Linked DNA regions of Mytilus edulis. Each later gene encodes a partner of the first gene's protein in a complex. Links are inferred from orthologs where the notes say so. Each region holds a gene or a part of one and is shown in the gene's direction. Other genes may lie near its edges.

Region 1 (10,691 bases):
GCTAATGATCCACCTAAATATCAAGTCTTGATCACTGTCTGCAATTCAAAAATGACTTTATAATAAATGTATGATTATAAAGATATACAAGCATATATATATATGTTTCCATGACACAGGAACCAAACATAATTAAATATGCAAAAAATTTCTAGGGGTCAACATACTGTCTTTCAAAATCTGAGATCAAACAAAACAAAACTTTATTTTAAACAAGAATGTGTCCTCAGTACACGAATGCCCCACTCGCACTATCATTTTCTATATTCATTGGACCGTGAAATTGGAGTAATATCTCTAATTTGGCATTAAAATTAGAAAGATCATATCATAGGGAACATGTGTACCAAGTTTGAAGTCGATTGGACTTCAACTTCATCAAAAACTACCTTGACCAAAAACTTTAACCTGAAGCGGGACAGACGGACGAACGAATGGACGGACAGACAGACGGACAGACGGACGGACAGACAGACGGACGGACGGACGGACAGACGGACGGACGGACGGATGAACGGACGCACAGACCAGAAAACATAATGCCCCTAAAATAACAAGTTGAGAAAAGTATATAAATCAGATATAAGAGAAATATATCTGTTCCAGAAATTCATCATGATGCAACATACCCTAAAGTCTCACGGGGGGGTCTCTTCCTATATAAAGGTATATACATATGTGCCGCTGGAATGGGTCCCTTTTTTGATCTGTCAAATATATCAATGGGGTGCAATTTTACCGAGGAAATATATCAATAGGTAGTAATTGACCGATATAGGTACTATTTGAGCTGATAAATATATGAATGGGTTATGATTTCGCTGTGAAATATATGTATAGGTAGGGATTTCACAATTATTCAATATATGAATGGGGGTTGTTTTTAAAATCCCAGCTGCACACCTGTACCCAAAATCCCATGTTGAGACCCCCCCGTGTAAAGTCTAGATGGTTACAAAATTTTCCTATGATTTAATAATTTTTCATTGCCTGCCTTATATATGTTATGTTGAAAAGTGAACTTTGATTATCAAATAAGAAATAAATTTTCCAGAGAACGCTTGATATGTATTTGTTGTGTTTACATGTATGTTGTAAATAATGTTTTAATTATAGATATTTATGTACATGTCTCTATAAATACTATCCAAATAAAAGGGTAAATAAATAAACAGATGCATAGCTTTGTTGCAAATACTGTCCAATATTTAGGTGTCAAAGATAAAAGATAAATCTTAAGCCCAATTGTGGACATATACATGTATACAAACAAATTTTATCAGTATAACCATTAATATCTATTGACATTATGATATACGTCATCAATTCTCATCAATCGTGAAAAATTTCCATTGATGAAATCCAACAACATGTATCTTTATAGTGTATCAGATCATTAAAAAAAAGGTTATTTTCTAGCGTTATATTGAAACCAAATATTTCAAAACCAGATTCAAGCCATTGACAGAGGAAAAGGGGCAGGAGAATAAGCATAAATATTTTGAAAGTTTCAATTTCTAATGAAATGATTAAATGTGGTATGTCAGTATTATTAGAACCCCTATCAAAACTTTTCAATCTAGTATTTATGAAAGGCAGCTTCCCAAAATTATGGAACAAAAGTCTGATTACTTTAATTCATAAAAAGGGAAACAAATCTAACCCCTCTAATTATAGAGGTATCTCATTGACTTTTAATTTGGGAAAATTATTCCATAAAATTATACACACTAGACTTATGAAGTTTATTAACACCAATAATTAATCTGATAAATGAAAATCAGATTGGCTTCACAGAAAAAGCTAGAACAGCAGATCATATCTTCTCTGTAGACAATTATAGAAGACTAAAAAAAAGAAAGTTTTTGCAGCGTTTATAGATCTCCGAAAAGCCTTTGATACTGTCTGGAGGGAGGAGGGTTTATGCTGCATCCTACTCCAAAACAGACTTCCAGGCAAGCTTTTTAATGTCATCCAATCAATGTATAATGAAAACAAATGCAGAATTAAATTTCAAAATGGTATTAGCCATGAATTTATATCAAATTGTGGAGTAAAACAAGGGGATGTACTTTGTTTAATATTTATATAAATGGCCTTGTAAATGACCTTGATCATGCAAACACTCAACCAATTATTATAGGAGATGTCAAACTAACATCATTATTATATGCAGATGGCATTATTCTATTGTCTGAAACCCAAGAAGGGCTATACAGAATTAACTAAATTTTGTTCCCTATGGAAACTTGATGTAAACAAACAAAAATCAAAGATTATAATATTCAATTCTAATGGAAAATCTCATTGTAATTATTTTAAAGTAGAAAACGAACAACTTGAGACTGTTAAATCATATTGTTACCTTGGAATAACTATAAATTGTTCAGGAAGTTTAAGTCATTCAAAAAATATCTTATAGAAAAAGGAAGAAAGGCTTGGTTTAAAATAAAAAAAAACAGTCTCCTTAGATAATTCCTGCAGTATGCTTGAAAAATTATTTTGATACTTTAGTTGTTTCAATAACTCTTTATGGAAGTGAAGTTTGGGGTGTAAGCCAAGTGTTCAAAGATTCAGATCCATTTGAACATTTACATATGAAATTTTAGGAGTACAGTGCAAAACAACAAATGTAGCCTGTTTAGCTGAGACAAACAGAACCCCTTTGTACTTTATAATTCAGCTTTCAGCTATAAAATTTCTAAACCACATTGTGAACTCCCCTAACACTTTAGTCCATAAAATATATAATAATGTAGAGAAAACAAGTAAATGGGTTAACATTGTTAAAGACTGGTTAAATAAATTAGGTTTTGGTCATCTCACTTTTGATGCTATTAATTTAAAATATCACATAAATACTATCCAACAAAGAATCTATGACCAGGCTTATCAAATTATAAATTGCTCTATCAATAAATATGAAATTTAAATTTCTTTTGTCATACTAAAAGAATTAGAAAAAGGACCCCATATATTGATATATATGTAATCTCAAAACTGACCGATCAGTTTTCAGTAAATTTAAACTAAGTGCCCATTCTCTAGCAATTGAATGAGGGTTATACAAACATTGAAAGAAGTAAACGCATATGCTTATCCTGTAACAGACAAGAAATTGAGGATGAATACCATTTCTTCTCAATCTGTCCATGCTATACATCATTGAGGGAATCCCCCGATACCTATATACAAAATATTAATAAAAATCTTAATTTCAATTTTATTTAAATTGCAGTCTGCTATAACACTGAAACATTTGACTGCACTTTTAAATTGCAGTCTACCAGTCATTATAAAAATCACCATAAAGTATATTAATGATTGTTTTTTATTGAGAACATCTATATAGCTGTATTTCTTTTAATATGCAACCTAATTTTTGTTTGTGTTCTTTTTTTAATTGTTCATGAACATTAATAATGTGTTAACTGTTGATATTTATAGTCTTTTTCTTCTTCCCTGTAAATACCACTGTCATTCATATATAATTATAATCAATTTAACTATTGTCAATTTATACATAATGTCATGCCAAAACCACTTAATGTAAATGTGTTTGTGCTAATAAATATTGTCTATTGTCTATGAATTATGCAGGAAATTGATGTTCATCCCTCTACAGGAAGCTGCATATAGTGTGAGGCTTTCAGAATAGAGAATAAAGAACAAAACATTAAGAATAGAGAATGGAGAAAATTTGGCAAAAACATATAGGATAAAGAAAACTGAGACATGTTCATGATTTTAAAAACAATAGGATTCTAAAATATAAAGAATAAAGAACAATGACCATTTAAAATAATAAAGACTATATATATAGACAATTGGCCTAAACAATTAATAAATATGTATACAAATATGACAAATATGACAGTCTTCACGATGAACTATAAAAACTACAGGCCTGGAGCTCAATTTTTGAAATTTTTTTATTAGATTCTGTTGGCCTGTAGATATGATTTTTACAGGCCGAGAGTAATTTTACTAGCCTGGGCTGTCTCGGGTGCCACTCAGCGTGAAGACTGTTTCAAATATGGAGAGCATCATCCAGATCTGCATAAATTAAAGATCTTTTTCATCTGCACTCAAACTCAATGAACATACTTGTTCACTGGGTTAATCAATACCATCTGAAACTTTGTGAGTATGAAATCAAGGATGTGATAAAAATCCTTGATGAAATGAAATACATTCTTTTTTTAATTATATGATATCAAAGATTTGACGATATAAACTATGTTATAGAGCAGCAGTACGATGAAGAAAAAAAATCAGTTGGTCGAATTGTGTAATGGTCTATTTGAGTTCAATTGGGTAACCCATCACTCCGGACCTAACCAACAGTATATTGTATTGTATAAATTATATAGGAAGTAAATTACACATCATTAACTTCCTTGGTTTTTTAGTTGCTCAGTTTGTGCTAATGTTTTGTTTGTTATTCTTTATTTTATAAGAAAATTGTTCAATATGAAATGTATCAACATTATTGAAATCTATGATAAATAAAATATATCGTTTAGTTTTACACTTTATCAGCAAAAAAGGTTATCTTTGAAAACAGGGATATCATGTTCTACAACTCATTATTTATAATTTGTATGTTTTGCATTTGAAGGAAGACAATCTATGTACAGATTGGTAATACATGATGTTGTGAAATTTATTGATGATCACTTATATTCACTTTGCTAAAAGTCCAAATAAAACAGTTTGGGTATTCATTTTGAGGAATAAAAAAAGACTAAGGACAGAAACACTAAGCAAAAGTATTTTTTATCTTTGACTTTTACAAAACGTCATAGGCTACTGATAAAGGAGATATGTTATGACTGCAATTGATATATTTTTAAGATACATGAACATATAAAAAGAAGATGTTGTATGATTGCCAATGAGACAACTGTCCACAAGAGACCAAAATGACACAGAAATTAACAACTATAGGTCACCGTACAGCCTTCAATGGTGAGCAAAGCCCCTACAGCATAGCCAGTTATAAAAAGCCCTGAAATGACAATGTAAAACAATTCAAATGAGAAAACTAACGGCCTTATTTATGTACAAAAAATGAACCAAAAAAAATATGTATTAACACATAAACAAACCACAACCACTGAACTACAAGGTCCTGACATGTAGCTTATAATTTAACTTGAAATACATATACATGTACATGATGTATAATGTTAAAATTCATAGTTTCATTTGTTGATTGTACATGTATATTGAGAAAATTAGTATCAATAGCTTGATACAATAATTTTTTACAAATTAAATGATTTTTTTGCGGCAAAATTGTATATTTTATGCCTTTTTTATGTATATGGCTCTGATCTGGTTGTAGATTAACATCTAAGAAATAGTTAAATTCATATTTATGATTTGTGTCAACATTATTGTAACAATTATAAAAATCATTGTAATAAATTGTTTTGCTCTTCATGGGCCCTTTAATTGGAATAAAAATATCTTATCTTATATATAATTGTTCATTTATTTACAGCAGACAATAACTGACTGTCAGATCAATGAAAAATACATATTATATTCATTTTACCAAGGACTTGTACAAAAAAAATGTATATATAGTAAGACGATACAAATTCGTGATACTGTATTACGATATTTTCATTTATGCACTTTTGTTTCTTAACAGAACTACGATTTAGTCAGGGGCAAAAACTTGAGGCAAAGTAGCATAAAAAGGGATAATATACATGACACATTTTTTAGCTGGAGTATGGGGTGTGAAGTGCCAGTGGTAGTATATATACTAAGATTAGAAGAATGGAATTTAGAGTTATATATAGCCTAGGGGAAGGGAGTGGGTATATGGGGTAGGAAATTTTGGAATCAGGGGACCCACTTTAGTCCTCTAGTAGAGATTAGTAATGGGAGTACCTTCATGATGAATATAAACAATAAAAGTTCTTGCCAAATCACGTTCACAGTAATTTTTAGTGCATGACAATAAAATTACACTTTCTTTTAGGCGATCAAATATTCGACTAGCTGATTTTGACGCATCACTCTAAAAAAATAATCCAAAAATGATGTTAAAGAAAATTTTGTTGAGACATCTGACATCATGATAAGGATATTTTGACAAATCAAGGTAAAAGTTCAACCAATTTGACACTAACATGACTAACCACTGGTGGATCTAGAAATTTTCATAAGTGGGGGCCCACTCCTGTCACGCTTCAGTGATTCTCTATATAAGCAAATTTTCCCCAAAAAGGGGGGGTCACTGGTCCCCAGGCCCCCCTAAATCCGCCTCTGCTAACATGACTAACACTGGGTTACAGTAGCCGAGAATGACAGTTTGATGTCTGAAGGTAAAGGAAATTACTACCTTTCTCATAGAGTCTACTGACAATAAAATAAATATACATAATTTGTTTACTTTAGTTTATAAATATAAAAAAAAATTATGTCTGACTTTGTTCAGTGTAGCATAGCCACGCCATATGCCAAGCACTTTGATCAGCATTATGGTAAACATCTTAACAATCAATGAAGAATGCTGTTTAAACCTATATCTGTTATTTTTATACCTTTGTGTTTTTCTATTTGTAAATATTTACAAAATATATACAGAGCTATTTTCTGAGTTTGTCAGGTTTTTGTTATTGTCAATATAAACACTTCCTCGACGTTGCTCAATCGAAGTCGTTTGAACGCTTTCAGGTGGCAAATGCAAAGGAGAAACTTTTATTTGTAATTCGTTTAAGTAAGACAAATGAACAGCTGAAATGTCTGGTAAAAGACCAGCAAAAGGGAAAGGTAAAAGACCAAAACAAAAAATAGAACCATATTGCGATATCCGTCTGTGGATTAGTACTACGAAGGTTGACACCCCCCTTTTCTCTGCAAAATATTCCAAATAGATATTGCAATTTGACCATTTTGTTTTCTGATTGGTCTAAGAGAATGAGAAAATAGAGCCCTCAGTAAGGGTTCTGGAATTGGATAATTTGCTGAAGATGCAAAAAGTAGGAAATACATGTAAGATGTGTTCGTACCAACATTTGACAAATGAGCCTCTCAAATGTGTATAATAACCTTAATGCTATTTGGAAATCTGTGCCTATTGACCTAAGAATCTGTGCTGCTGGAACTATTGACGTCATAGCCCAAATAATTATGACATTTTGAAAAGCTATTATATTTTTTTTTCTTTGACGTATTACGTCTGTAAAGGTGCTAAAGCAAAACAATATAATACCAACAGCCTATCAAGACATCATAATTAGTTGGACTAGGAACATGTGTGATGTCCAGTAAAAGCTGACAATAGCGATAAGGTGCATTCATGCACTTTCTCCTATAAATATTCTACATCACAGTAAGAATTTGTTTATTAAATGACATCACTGCTCTTTAACGCTTTCGGGTTGATCTGGCCCCACGTCGATCCGGCCCCACGTTGATCCGGCCCCAACAAAATATATATTCATCAGGAATAAAAATAAAGATATATATATATTAATAGTAATTCATAAATGTTTATGATTTTTATTATAATGTAAAAGGTGTACGTAAAAAAAATAAAAAAGGCCTTTTAAAAATATTTTCTTTAGATGAGTATAAAACAACCAGTTTGATCATGTTTTTATTACAAGTTTTCAAGATAATGGGGTATAACTATATTAAAACGTATATAAAAGAATTCAGACATCAACATTAATCAGCAGTAATTAGCATTTTCTTTCAATTGACTGTGATCCCAGTGATGTCGTTAGAAGCCGGCAGCCGGCGATTTTCGCCGGTTATTGTCCTTTTCCTGCTGGCTATTTTTGCATGAGTAATAAAAATTAATAAGATAAAAAGGATAATCAGGTTAATATTAAAAAATAATTGTTCAATGCATCAGCTTCCACGATTAAACTTGCGATAAACAAGGATGTAAATGAGTGTTTATCTTTGACTAAATATAGTTCATGTAAATGCAGTCCGCTGATTGGTCGTCTATATAAAGTCGGTAAGTATTGTATGTTTGCAAGGATAAAAAGAGAGACGTTCCGATGGACATTATGACCCTGTTTGGTTTTTGCTTCAAGAGAAGGAATAATGCAGCAACCATTTGATTTTCTGGGGGGGAGCTATGGGTTTTTTTTCTGGACAAATTTTTTATTTCGCCTGCGGCCAAAAACAATCTATTTTTTTCGTGACAAGTCGAAAAAAAAAAATTTCTTTCAATTTTAGCATTACATCTAGTGGCAGCTGAGGGTGAAACAAACAAATTTTTTTTCTCAGAATCAACATTGATCAAAAACAAATTATTTTTTTCTCCAAAAACTGGAAACAAACTTTTTTTTCCAAAAAAAACCATAGCCTCCCCAGAAAAGCCTCTGATGTTACCTGAAAAAAAATACAATTACTTATAATTATATACACCAAACAAAAGAACAAACAATAAAGACCTTGTTGCTTACGTAACTTTGATTAATCAATTAATTAATTAATTTAATCAATTGGATTTGATTGAATTAAGTGATTTATGAGTGACATTACCTTAGTTCACAATCATTAGACAATTGTTGAATAAACAAACCAATTATATATAGACTAATTATTGACAAATGATTTGGTTAAACAAGACATGATGAGTTAAATTTTAAGGGTTTCATTGGACTGTAAATATTTATTTCGCTACTCTGTATGAGAAGTAAATAAATTCAAATTCATCATGACAAAGATGACATTCAAAGTCAACATGGAAAATATCTTCACATTTTAAAATATGTTGGAGCTGCTATACAAACAGACACAACAACACTCAGTTTCGTATCGATTTAAAATAGTTCTTTAGTTTAACTGGTACTCCAATACTTCACTTACCTGTTGTCATCCATCATCGACACTTTTTGCAAATTCCGTTTATACTGTTCAAATTTGTCAAAAATTCCTCCATATAGTGAGCATATTTTATTCATATTTTATAATCATGATAATAGGGCCGGATAGACGTGTGCTGGAACAACTATGGGCCGGATTGACTTTGGGCTGGATCAGTTTTGGGGCAGAATGACTGGATACCCTCTTCAACTTTGTACTTGTTTGGCTTTATAACTATTTTGATCTGAGTGTCACTGATGAGTCTTATGTCGACGAAACGCTCGTCTGGTGTATTAAATTACAATCCTGGTACCTTTGATAACTATTTTCATGTACACAGATTGATTTTGCCAATCAATAACTGTTACTCAGTCCTATAGATTTGTTTAAATTGTAAACCAACTTGAGATTTGTGTACATGTATATCCACAATCCTTAATCTTAATGTCTGATGGCACTAATTGTTTCAAATGTGCAATGGTGCAGATTCACTCCTTCGTGTGTTATGCTTAACCGATTTTTCTCTCTGTGCATTTAAAGGGTTTGTTTTTGTTAAGATTGGGATTGGGGAACAGTTGTATCAAATCTGCAGGATAATTTACCACTGTTCGTAGTTTGGGTTTCCCATCTAAGGTCTATGGTTTTCTCCAGTCACTCCGGCTTCGTCCACCATTAAAAACTGGCCCCCACGAAATAGCCTAAATGCGGTGCTTAAAAGTGGTGTTAAAACTGGCTTGAAGAGAGAATTCTTGTTCATATATGCATATATCACACTGCATTGAGTGTGAAACCAAAAAAGTATACACTAAAAATATGTTAACTTGTTTTGCTTATCCAGCATTGTTAATGCAACATTCCATTGGCTATCTGTTAGGTCAATAATGTCTTTCCAAGGACAAAACTGAATATTTCCTTCATGCAATGGAAATATACATGTGATTTCTACCCCATTATATACTATAAAAATTCCAAAACAAGGCATGTCAAAACAAAAGTGACAAAAAAGGAAACATTACACTGTGAATAGTTCTGTGTACAATTTGATTTTATAATTTTTCTCTCTATATTTTGCAGTACATATTGCACCTCCTGGTGACTTTATAGCACTTGGTAAGGGTAAGTCACCAGCAGACAGTGACCTCCCAAGATTACAGTCTAGCAGTAAAAAGCCGGAAAAGAAAAGAGAGGGTGCTCCAGGGATTTCTGGTGCACCTCCAGTGAAGAAGCCAAAAATCTTATCTCATGGACAGACATTTACTCCCCTTGGAAGAACTGATACTGATAGGAGGAGTTCACCAGCTCCTAGTTCTGTTAGTCAATATGAAGAGCTGGCTGTTGAAGGTATAGTTAAAAATCTCAAATTGGAAAAGGGATCTGAGTTGTATAAAGGCATTTTGAATGACATTTTTGTACTGTTAACTTTTTATTACAATTTATAAGTGTTGCAAATTAATACTTCCCTGTTGTACCAAAATTGGTTGGCAATCTCTAAGACTAACTTCAATTTAACTCCACCAAATGTTATTAAACTTATACACATTAATGCTTATAACCACAAAACACAGATCAAAGGAGTAGGTCCGGTAAAGGCTGATTTTGGCCTCAAATTTCAGGTTCATCTGATGAAAGATTTTGGACACTTTTTAAGCACTTAAGTGTCTACTTAGTCGAATCAATTAGTATATGTAAATATTTTAGCTGATTTAGTTGCTGAAAACGCTCCAATTCAAGCTTAAATATGAAAAATCTATCAGTTATGCCATAATATGTCACTTTTTAGATGGTTTTTGTCAAAAATGCTACTCCTTTGAATTTGTTTGCATCACTTTTACCTTAATTAATTG
Region 2 (10,658 bases), on another chromosome or scaffold:
TCAGTCTGTTTTATTTGACCTTGACCAAATTTTCATGGTTCATTGCCCAATATTATATTTTTTTGGTCTGTTTTTCTAATATTTTAAACAATAGTTCAAATATATTTAGTTTATGGAATGATTGTAGGGTGTAAATGTTTCTGGCAATTATCATCTTACCATAACCTCATTTTCATGGTTCATTAATCAATGTTAAGTTTTCCTGGGTTAGTTTGTTTCTGTAATGTGCAATAGGTCAAATATTAAAAGCATATTTGGTATATGGATTGAATGTAACGTTTACATGTATTTCTAATTTGGTTTATCTGACCTTGACCTCATTTTCTTGGTTCATGTTAAATTGATGTGATAGTTGTATAAAAACTTTTAATTATACTCTTGTTTCATTATAACTGTCATACAAGTGGGAGGTTTAGCTAGCTATAAAACCAGGTTTAACCCAACTTCGTTGTGAATTTACCTTTTCTAATATGATGATCATGGACAAGCATATATATTAGTTAATAACAATAAAAGTTGCATCTTTATTTCGGTATTGGACTATTAATCTGCCAAGTAACTGCATGTATTTCTTTAGTATAGACTGACTGAAACAAAACAATGACAAAAATACACAAAATAATCTAGAAATCATGACTTTGATAAAGTACCACACATCATCGTCATATGTTTACTTAACACATAAAAAAAAAACTATGACATCTCAGACAAGACAACTAAGTGGATCTAATTATTCCTCTCCATACAGAAATCAAATAGACTTGACAACACTGAATCTGATAAAAAAAAATACCAACATGATACATTAGATATTCCCCAGGGCATACAGTACACTAATACTTTATTTCATATACATAGAATATTATTAAAAAGAATACTTAAGAAATAATTCATGGAAGCCATAGATTTGTTGGAAATTTACACATGGCCTGGGCCGTGATATTCGAATTTTATCCTGAGCGTTAGCGAGGGATAAAATTAACGAATATCACGGCCCAGGCCATGTGTAAATTTACAACAAATCTATGGCTTCCATGAATTATTTCGATTCTAATAGGACAAATACGATCATTAAAAAACTGAAGCGATGATGGGTATACCTTGTGTGTGGCTGTTCTATTTTACCCACTGTTCGATAAATGTAAAACAAATCTAATAAACCTGCATGAATGATTTCTTAACTAACCGCTAGAAAAAAAATGTGATTACTTTTTTTACTTCTCAGTAAACCAAACATTTGCATTTTAAATCTACATTTTTTATCGTAAGCTACCGTCAAATTCACTGTTGACATGTTGTAACCAAGGAGCCGCCATGTTGACTTGCTGAAATCAGTAAATTTGCGATTAATGCAATAGAACAGAAAACAAGCAACACCTACCTCAATACTTTATTTTAATGCAATTGTATCCGAGTTTAGAAGGTAAACGCAATAGAAAAACCTTCAGCTTTGACGTTTTCATTCGTATGACGTCATGTTTTGAAATGACGTTAATGCGCAAAAATCATTACTGGAATTTCGCGGAATTTTAATTTATTTTGTTTTTGTCCATTTTTCCGTTCTCTAATGTGTAAATTCTTTTTGTTATGCATCAGAATCAGAATAAATGTTCTGTAGGGTTTTATTCAAGTGTAATTGTTAATACGGCGAAATCAACAACCGTTTACACATAGGTTACGATACATGTGGATTTACGTGGGAGGCATATTTAAACAGCCATTTGTGTACATCTTGGAGTCTGCGCTAAGTATAGATATATCGAGAATTTTATCACGGTGTTGTTTACAAAGCGAAAGAAGCACGTCATATTAGAATAGTATCTAAAACACAGCCAAACAAGATTTTGATACGACCGCAAAAATTAAAAAAAATTTGGTCGTATATTGGTATCACGTTGGCGTCGTAGTCAGCAACGGCGTCCGAAGACTTTTGGTTTTCGCACTATAACTTTAGTATAAGTAAATAGAAATCTATGAAATTTAAACACAAGGTTTATGACCATAAAAGGAAGGTTGGGATTGATTTTGGGAGTTGAGGTCCCAACAGTTAAGGAATTAGGGGCCAAAAAGGGGCCCAAATAAGCATTTTTCTTGGTTTTCGCACTATAACTTTAGTACAAGTAAATAGAAATCAATGAAATTTAAACACAAGGTTTATGAACACAAAAGGAAGGTTGGGATTAATTATGGGAGTTGAGGTCCCAACTGTTTAGGAATAAGGGGCCCAAAGGGTCCAAAATTAAACTTTGTTTGAATTCATCAAAAATTGAATAATTGGGGTTCTTTGATATGCCGAATCTAACTGTGTATGTAGATTCTTAATTTTTTGGTCCCATTTTCAAATTGGTCTACATTAAGGTTCAAAGGGTCCAAAATTAAACTAAGTTTTATTTTAACAAAAAATGAATTCTTGGGGTTCTTTGATATGCTGAATCTAAACATGTACTTAGATTTTTGATTATTTTCTCAGTTTTCAAGTTGGTCCAAATTTGGGTCCAAAATTAAACTAAGTTTTATTTTAACAAAAAATGAATTCTTGGGGTTCTTTGATATGCTGAATCTAAACATGTACTTAGATTTTTGATTATTTTCTCAGTTTTCAAGTTGGTCCAAATTTGGGTCCAAAATTAAACTAAGTTTTATTTTAACAAAAAATGAATTCTTGGGGTTCTTTGATATGCTGAATCTAAACATGTACTTAGATTTTTGATTATTGGCCCAGTTTTCAAGTTGGTCCAAATTGGGGTCCAAAATTAAACTTTGTTTGATTTCAACAAAATTGAATTCTTGGTGTTTTTTGATATGCTGAATCTAAACATGTACTTAGATTTTTGATTATAGGCCCAGTTTTCAAGTTGGTCCAAATTGCGGTAAACTTTGTTTGATTTCAACAAAAATTGTATATATGGGGTTCTCTGATATATGCTTAATCTAACCATGTATTTAGATTTTTGATGTTTGGGCCCGGTTATCTGATTGGTCCACATTGAGGTCTAAAGGGTCCAAATTTGAACTTTATTTGATTTCAATCAAAAATTGAATTCTTCGGGTTCTTTGATATGCTGAATCTAACCATGTATTTAGATTTTGGATATTGGACCATAATAGGTAATGTCCAATTTAAAATTTAAAGTTTTAAAGTTTAAGTTCTTAGACCACATTCATCATGTGTCAGAAACCTGTGTTGTGTCAACTATTTAATCACAATCCAAATTCAGAGCTGTATCAAGCTTGAATGTTGTGTCCATACTTGCCCCAATGTTCAGGGTTCGAACTTTGCGGTCGTATAAAGCTGCGCCCTGCGGAGCATGTGGTTTTGTATAGTAAGCATCATCATTTAATACCAGCCTATTATTTTAAACTAAGACATTAAAAAGCTTCATAAAGACATCCAACCAACTTCAATTGTAGACGAGACTGTCTCATGACGTTATTCAATATTTACATCCTCAGTTTCTCGGCTTAGAATAAAAAAACGTATGCAGATTTACTACAACTTGCATGGCCGCATTTAAGAACAATTTAAGTCCAAACTGACAAATGATTAGGAATAATACAGTATTCAGGCCTCAAATATAACACACCTTTACACAGTGGCGGATCCAGGGGAGGGTTCCGGGGGTTGGACCCCCCTTTTTTTGACGATCAATGCATTTGAATGGGGATATATAGTTGGACCCCCCCCCCCTTTTTGTCCTTGGTTGGGACCCCCTGTTTACAACATATTGACGCAACAGTTAACTAGTGTATATCATTCATCTGGCAAAACATACAAAAATAGCTACAAGCCTATAAATTGCTTATCAAACGATAGTCGGACAAGCAATGTGGTATACTGTTGCACTCTTTGGGACCCATGCACATCAGAAAATACAATAAACATTCATATTGAAACAAGTGCGAAGAACAGCTACATGTTATCCCGGACACAAATCATTGAATGATTCTTGGATGCTTGACTTCCAGTGGCAAATATTTCAATACAGATCGATATTAGTTCACAATTGCTATGCTTTACAAACTCTAAATGTCTACCTCATAAATCCTTCAAAAAGGGAGATTAAAAACAAAGCTTCAAATTCTCATATAAACAATATACAATTGCTATACCAACAATCCTTTCCAAATGCTAATCCATTCTTGCATATAAGCCCTTCAAAGTGAAAATTTCATATCATAATTTGAGAATAAAACCAATTTCTGAATAAATATTGTCAAAAAATGCACAATGGCGGGATGACGCTTGAAAAATGTGCGTCGATGTATCCTCCTAAAATTGTAATACTTATATGCTTATAAAAGTCGTCATATCTATATGTCCAAAGGTCAGTTGAAATTTAAAGTCGAAATTTCGAGTACGTTTATAATCGAAATTTTGACGTCGAAATTTTTAAATATATAAAAGGCAAAATTTCAAGTTAAAGTCAAAACTTTGTGAAAGGAGTAGGTCCATTAAGACCCCCTTTTGGCCCCAAACCATAGCAGTTTTACATAATTTTTAAAATGTAAACTTTTGGCTATTTATTGGAAAGTAGAATGCTTATATTACATAAATATGGGCTGTTTTTTGACAATACAAATGATGCACATATATCGGATATTAACATCATTAAGTCATCGGATAAATAACTGAAATCTTATCAATTTTATAATTTGAGTTAGATTTTAGACGGTTTCCGTCTTCAAATGAAAGTGGCCGCATTTGTGTTCCTTTTTAATGACTTTTATTATGTTAGTTTCATTTGATGATATTACATAACATATACAAAGTTTGAGAGTGAACGTGATTTGTGACAAAACCATCTGAAAAGTGACTGACCAAATCAGTTCAAATCTTTCACATAAACTAATTGAATCGACTGAAGTAGATACTTAAGTGTTAAAAAAAGTGTCCAAATTCTTTCCGGGCATCAGATGAACCTGAAATGTGAGGCCATAATCGGCCCTTACCGGCGGATCTGACTCCTTTGACTGAAAGTTGAAATTTCGAGTATGTCGAAATGTCAAAATTTCAACTTTGTTAAAAAGTTCACCACGGATTCTTTTTGAAAAAGTTGACCCATCTCGTAGTGAGTTTAACATACGCTATCGTTGTTGAATATTTGTGTCACTTGGTTTGTTTCCTTTTCTTTTTTTGGCATTTCGTAACCGTGACCGGTCAGTAAACCAGCTGCTTAATTCTAAATGTTCTGTGAAGTGATTTGTTCATTTTCGTTTTATGTTCAAGAAGCTCTATGGCCCTATAAATGGATTTTTCTAGAATCAAAATCAAATCACGTAATTTATAAATTGTTTTCTATTTCGGTTGGATATAAAAGTGAAATATTTGTCACTGGACGTCACACTATTAACCAATGTATTTTTATCTTTCATAATATTGTGCAAATTCTATAGACATGGTACTTTGAATAAAACTTTATGATTGGTTTACAATATGTTTGATTTTGTTTGAAAAGATATTTTCATAAAATGATTAACACCACTCCGCTTGCTGTTCATCTCAATCTGAACGTAACCGTTTCGGGGTTTAGAAAAGTAACTTCCGGTTTGTGGAAATTGTAAAAAAAGTAATTTATCTGTTCATCAAATGTTACTGTTTTGCAGTAAATGTTAGTTTAACTGACGTATTTATTACTGACAGTCACTTCTGTGGGTAGATTAATAGCAGCATTAACATTATCTAATCGGTAAGTCTAGGATAGCATTATACAACAACAATGTTCAGGCTAACTGCTGAGGCTAACTGTTACTCACAGGCACTTGTTTCTGTCAATATGATTATCAATATGGGGTTTTCTATATATGTAAATCCCATATTGACAGAAACAAATGCCTGTGCTGTTACTCACATCTCAGTTATAAAATAACATGCAATAAATAGAAATTTTCTGAAGAAAACCATAAAATTGATTTTTATGCATTTCAGGAAAAAAAGAAAAAAAAGACATTATGGTATTCATGGAATTTACTCATAGAATGACTTGTTGTTACGCATACATGCATATACAGGGTTCTCGTAAAGACGCGTATACACATTCTGGATGCATGGCAATCAGTGGCGGATCCAGAAATTTTCATAAGTGGGGGCCCACTGACTGACCTAAGAGGGGGCCCGCTCCAGTCACGCTTCAGTGATTCCCTATATAAGCAACCAAATTTTTTCCCAAAAAGGGGGGGCCCGGGCCCCTTCCCCCTAAATCCGCCTCTGGCAATCGAGCAGGATGCATAATTTTTGAAACCCATGAATTCCTGGGACGCGTCCTGATTGTATCCCCTGAGTCCCAAGATGAGTGCTAGGAGAATAGTTAAACTTGATATATATAATTTCATCTACACCAATTTAATTAACATCTATAGGCGAATCCAGGGGACCCTTTTGGCAAATTTGGTTGCTTATATAGCAGCGTATTCATTAAGAACCGATTGCCGATTGAAATGGTCGTTTATAATCAAATTCCCATCGGTTGTTTTTCTGATGTCAAAAAAATATAAATCGTACTTTTAGTTTTAGATCGTCGGTCACTATCTAGGACAATCAAGAGAAATATATAACGGCATTTCTGATTGGTTAATAAAATTGAATTTCCGGTAAAATAGATCCTGGTTGTTGATTTCGCTGCAAAGTACTATAAGATTTTGTACTGAAACCAGGAAAAGGATGCATTCATAGTAATAACGAGATTTTGTAACCAGTCAATAGCATAGTCAGAGAAATGAAAATAATTTCAGATTTTTTTCAATCAACAACAAAGTGAAAAAAAGTTTTGTTCTATGACATTTGCATTCAAATAATTGAGACACCCTCCTTGGTCATGTTCATGAAAGTGCATGATCGTGGTCCTACCATGAAATGAAAAAAAGAGCAATGTCTTGTCTCGTAAAAGCAGACATCACATTATTATTTTCATTAAGTGATATTCACTTTCTTGTTTTCAAGTGATAGAGCCTCTTAACAGCAGACTCTTTATTTTTACCATAAATCATAAATCATATGTTTACCTGTCCCATGGCCTTTCTTTTGAAATGAAAGAAAAAAATGTAGAGATAGCTCGTTTGCATGTCATTGTGTAGCTTCAAATAGAGTCATAAATACTAGGACTAGGAGCATGCCACCACCTGACACAATCATGCCCTGACTAACCTGATCCAAGTAATAATAATAAAAAGTGAGGATGAGGATGAGGATGATGTCTCCCTATGATTATAAAGAAGTGTGAGTCTTGCATTATGCATTCAAGGATGTACTTTGACCAGGTTCTGGAATTTCTGTCAGATGTTTAATCTCTGGGTTTTCCCCTATGATACAGGGTAAAATATTTTGACCTATGACCATGATAATCCCATTTTTCCTTTCTTTAATAAAAGACTTCAATTATTAACTCACAAAAACTCATTTTAATACCAAAATGTAAGCAGATCTTAGATTTCTTTCTTTCCTTTTGTTTGCTTCTTAACTAATGCTCTTCTGAATTATGGTATCAATTTTATTTGATTATTGTAATTTCACCAAAGTGCATCCTTTTTGCCTTTAAACAACAGTCCATTGAATTCATCATTTGATTTATTGTGATAAGTATTTGAAATTATTAATACTGAAAAATGTTTTCTATGGGTTAGAACTATTTGAATAATTGCATGTCTACAGTTAAATTAAAAATATTTTCAACTAATAAAATCAAATTTAAATCTTTTCCTGAATGATCACCATGTCTTACAGAGTCATGCCTTCATTATTTTCCTCAAAAACCTGCAAACAACTTCAATAACTTGTTAGCTGAAAGTCTTGATGATATGTGATCAACTTTATAGAAAATATGACCATCTTGCTGCTCATTTACCTTATCATCATTAAAAAAATGGTGTTTGCGAAGAACAAAATTAGAGTTCAGGAGCCCCCCAGGGTGCAGGATTTTGCACCATTTTAAAAAAAAATTCAGACCCCTCGCCGTGAAGGGCAACGAGCAAGCTCGTCGCGCCGAACGGCTACGCCGTCCGCCGGTGTTGCCTGCTACTTTTATTATTTAACCTCCTACTTTAAATCTTATTGACAACCCTGTATAGGGAATCACTAAAGCGTGACTGGAGTGGGCCCACCTTACAAAAAGTTCTGGATCTGCCACTGATTAGAAAAGGGTGTAAAGGAGATGGGGTTAATTTGTAAAGTTATTCTATATTTTTTTGGGGTTATTTAAGTCTAGTATAAGTATCTTAATCATTACTGGACCAAATGTCCAGTTTATAACTAAAAAATCACCAATAAGAACAAAGAAAACTTCTTTTACTGAGTTTATTATTAAATAGTCAATTAACATTCCTCCTCCCCCACCCCAAAGAAAAAAAAAGAAAAACATAACCTACCTTTAGACCCAGTCTTTTATATGGCAGTCTGGCTTTGGCAAACCAACATTTTTTTAAAAATGTGGCCATACACCAAGAATTGATATATATATATATTATGAAAACTACAAATCCGACAAGCATCGTTTTAGTTTTATTTCGTCATATTTCATTTTATTTAGACACAAAAAATTACATACTTCCTGGACTCATCAAAATCTTTTGGGACTCACCATTTTTAAAATTGATGTGTCCCAGGACTCACCTTGAAAAATTCCTAGTGAGAACCCTGATATATATATTTTGCTTATATGTTGTTTGAATATATTACTGTCTGCAGGGACCCACTCAGTGGCGGATCTAGAAATTTTCATAAGTGGGGGCCCACTGACTGCTCTAAGAGGGGGCCCGCTTCAGTCACGCTTCAGTCATTACCTATATAAGCAACCAAATTTTTTCCAAAAAAGGGGCCCCCTGCCCCCCCCCCCCCCCCCCCCCCCCCCACCTTCATCCGCCTCTGTCACTGACTGCCTAAGAGGGGGCCCGCTCAGGTCATGCTTCAGTAATTCCCTATATAATAAATCAACCAAATTTTTACCAGAAAACGAGGAGGCCTGGGCCCCCTCTAAATCCGCCTCTGGTCTGTACATGGATCATGCCTCTATTGTAGTCTTTCCAATAAATATCTAATTGAATGGTCTATAAGTTCATAAAAAGGGAAAACAGTGGCAGTGTTTACACCACAAAATTTTCTATGAGTACAGACAAACTAAGTAATGCATCAAGGAAAGTGTTAAGGCATAGCAGGACCTAGATACATTTATATAAAAGTTATATGTTGTCTATGTTTCAGAAAAATAAAGACTACTACCTTGATTTTGATGAGCATTTTTTCCGGTCTGAAGAAGGTAGCAAGCTAAGATATTAGATAAACAAACGCATACGTTTCATTTGATATGGTCCACTCAGTTACACAGGTAAAATCATCTATTGTTTGCAGACATCTGTTGTCCATCTATTGTCCATTTAAATCGGTACTACTCACAACATTATTTATATGAGGGGAGCTTCTCAAACCTCAGTGGCGGATCCAGGGGGGGGGGGGGGGGGGGGGGTTCCGGGGGTGCGCACCCCCCCTTTATTTTTGCCGATCAATGCATTTGTATCGGGACATATGTTTTGCACCCCCCCCCCTTTGCCCTGGGTGCCCTGGGTTAGCACCCCCCCTTTCGAAAATTCCTGCATCCGCCCCTGAACCTCTTTCCCAACTTAGATTTTTTTGGCGCCATCTGTGGGAATGAAAAAAAAAATGAATAGTAATATCCAGAAAAGTTATAAATTTTCTGAAACTCAAAATCTATACTTCATGTACATGTACTACATGTACTAAATCTAAAGACCTTTTTTTTTGTTCATCTAATAAACTTATACCGAAGAAACTTATAAGCTACAATTCAAACTTATATTAGGGTATATATACTTGATAGGGTATACTGAAATTTTACCCTTTTACATTGATTACTGTTTCAAATAATAAGCAAGTAGACAAATTAATAAGTTGCAGAACTATCGAATGCAATTTCCTTTTAGTCATGTCATTATCATGATTATAAGAATATATGTCTTATGTTACTTATTACCTTATCTGTACATTCCACATCTGTCAGACGCACTACCAAACGGTGTATTTAGGATTTGCTATATACACGGGTCATAATCAGAGGGTTGACACTACTAAATACAATCATATGCATTGTCACATTGTTTCCTATTGTAGTATTTTAATTAACATCACTTTGTAAAATGACTATAAGAATATTAAAAATCTAGACTTAAAATAAGGTGTAGGTACTGTTTCCAGTTTGTTAGCCGACATGACGTAAAAACAGCAAATCGAATAATTCAACTTTATTTATAACGTATATAGGACAATGCTGTTGATTAAAAAATACTCCATTCCAGTACCTTTTGTTTTCCAAATAATTAATATCACCAATAATCAATGATAATTGATAAGTTCCAGGTCGACGGGTTCAACCAGAAAGATTTTGAAAGCAGAGAAAACTGTGTATCTTTTAATCAGCATGACAATACCAATACTAAAAATCTAGGCTAAAATAAGGCTTACATATAATTAGATACTTTAATTCTGTCACTATCTAGACAATTCTTCTAAAAATGAAACACAATAAAAACACCATTGTACATTAACCAACATGACGACAACAAACCAATTGCAATAAAGTATAAACTTACTAGAATATTCATTTCAGAAATAAAAGAAATGGCTGTTGTTGAGTTAGACCCTTTGTTTATAAAAG

The links. The genes of interacting proteins can lie anywhere in the genome.
Region 2: integrator complex subunit 1-like (region 1) and integrator complex subunit 12-like share a complex: the UniProt entries of both Homo sapiens proteins name them as parts of the integrator complex. The link is inferred for Mytilus edulis from reciprocal best matches to the Homo sapiens genes INTS1 and INTS12.

Annotation. Positions count from the first base shown.
Region 1 is NC_092352.1:85,421,405-85,432,095, reverse strand, and holds the start of integrator complex subunit 1-like, read left to right. Parts: upstream 1-6,648; 5' UTR 6,649-6,761; coding exon 6,762-6,792; intron 6,793-9,921; coding exon 9,922-10,188; intron 10,189-10,691. UniProt on the Homo sapiens protein: Component of the integrator complex, a multiprotein complex that terminates RNA polymerase II (Pol II) transcription in the promoter-proximal region of genes.
Region 2 is NC_092350.1:30,142,980-30,153,637, reverse strand, and holds the start of integrator complex subunit 12-like, read left to right. Parts: upstream 1-5,522; 5' UTR 5,523-5,687; intron 5,688-9,190; exon of another isoform or gene 9,191-9,314; intron 9,315-10,610; 5' UTR 10,611-10,621; coding exon 10,622-10,658. UniProt on the Homo sapiens protein: Component of the integrator complex, a multiprotein complex that terminates RNA polymerase II (Pol II) transcription in the promoter-proximal region of genes.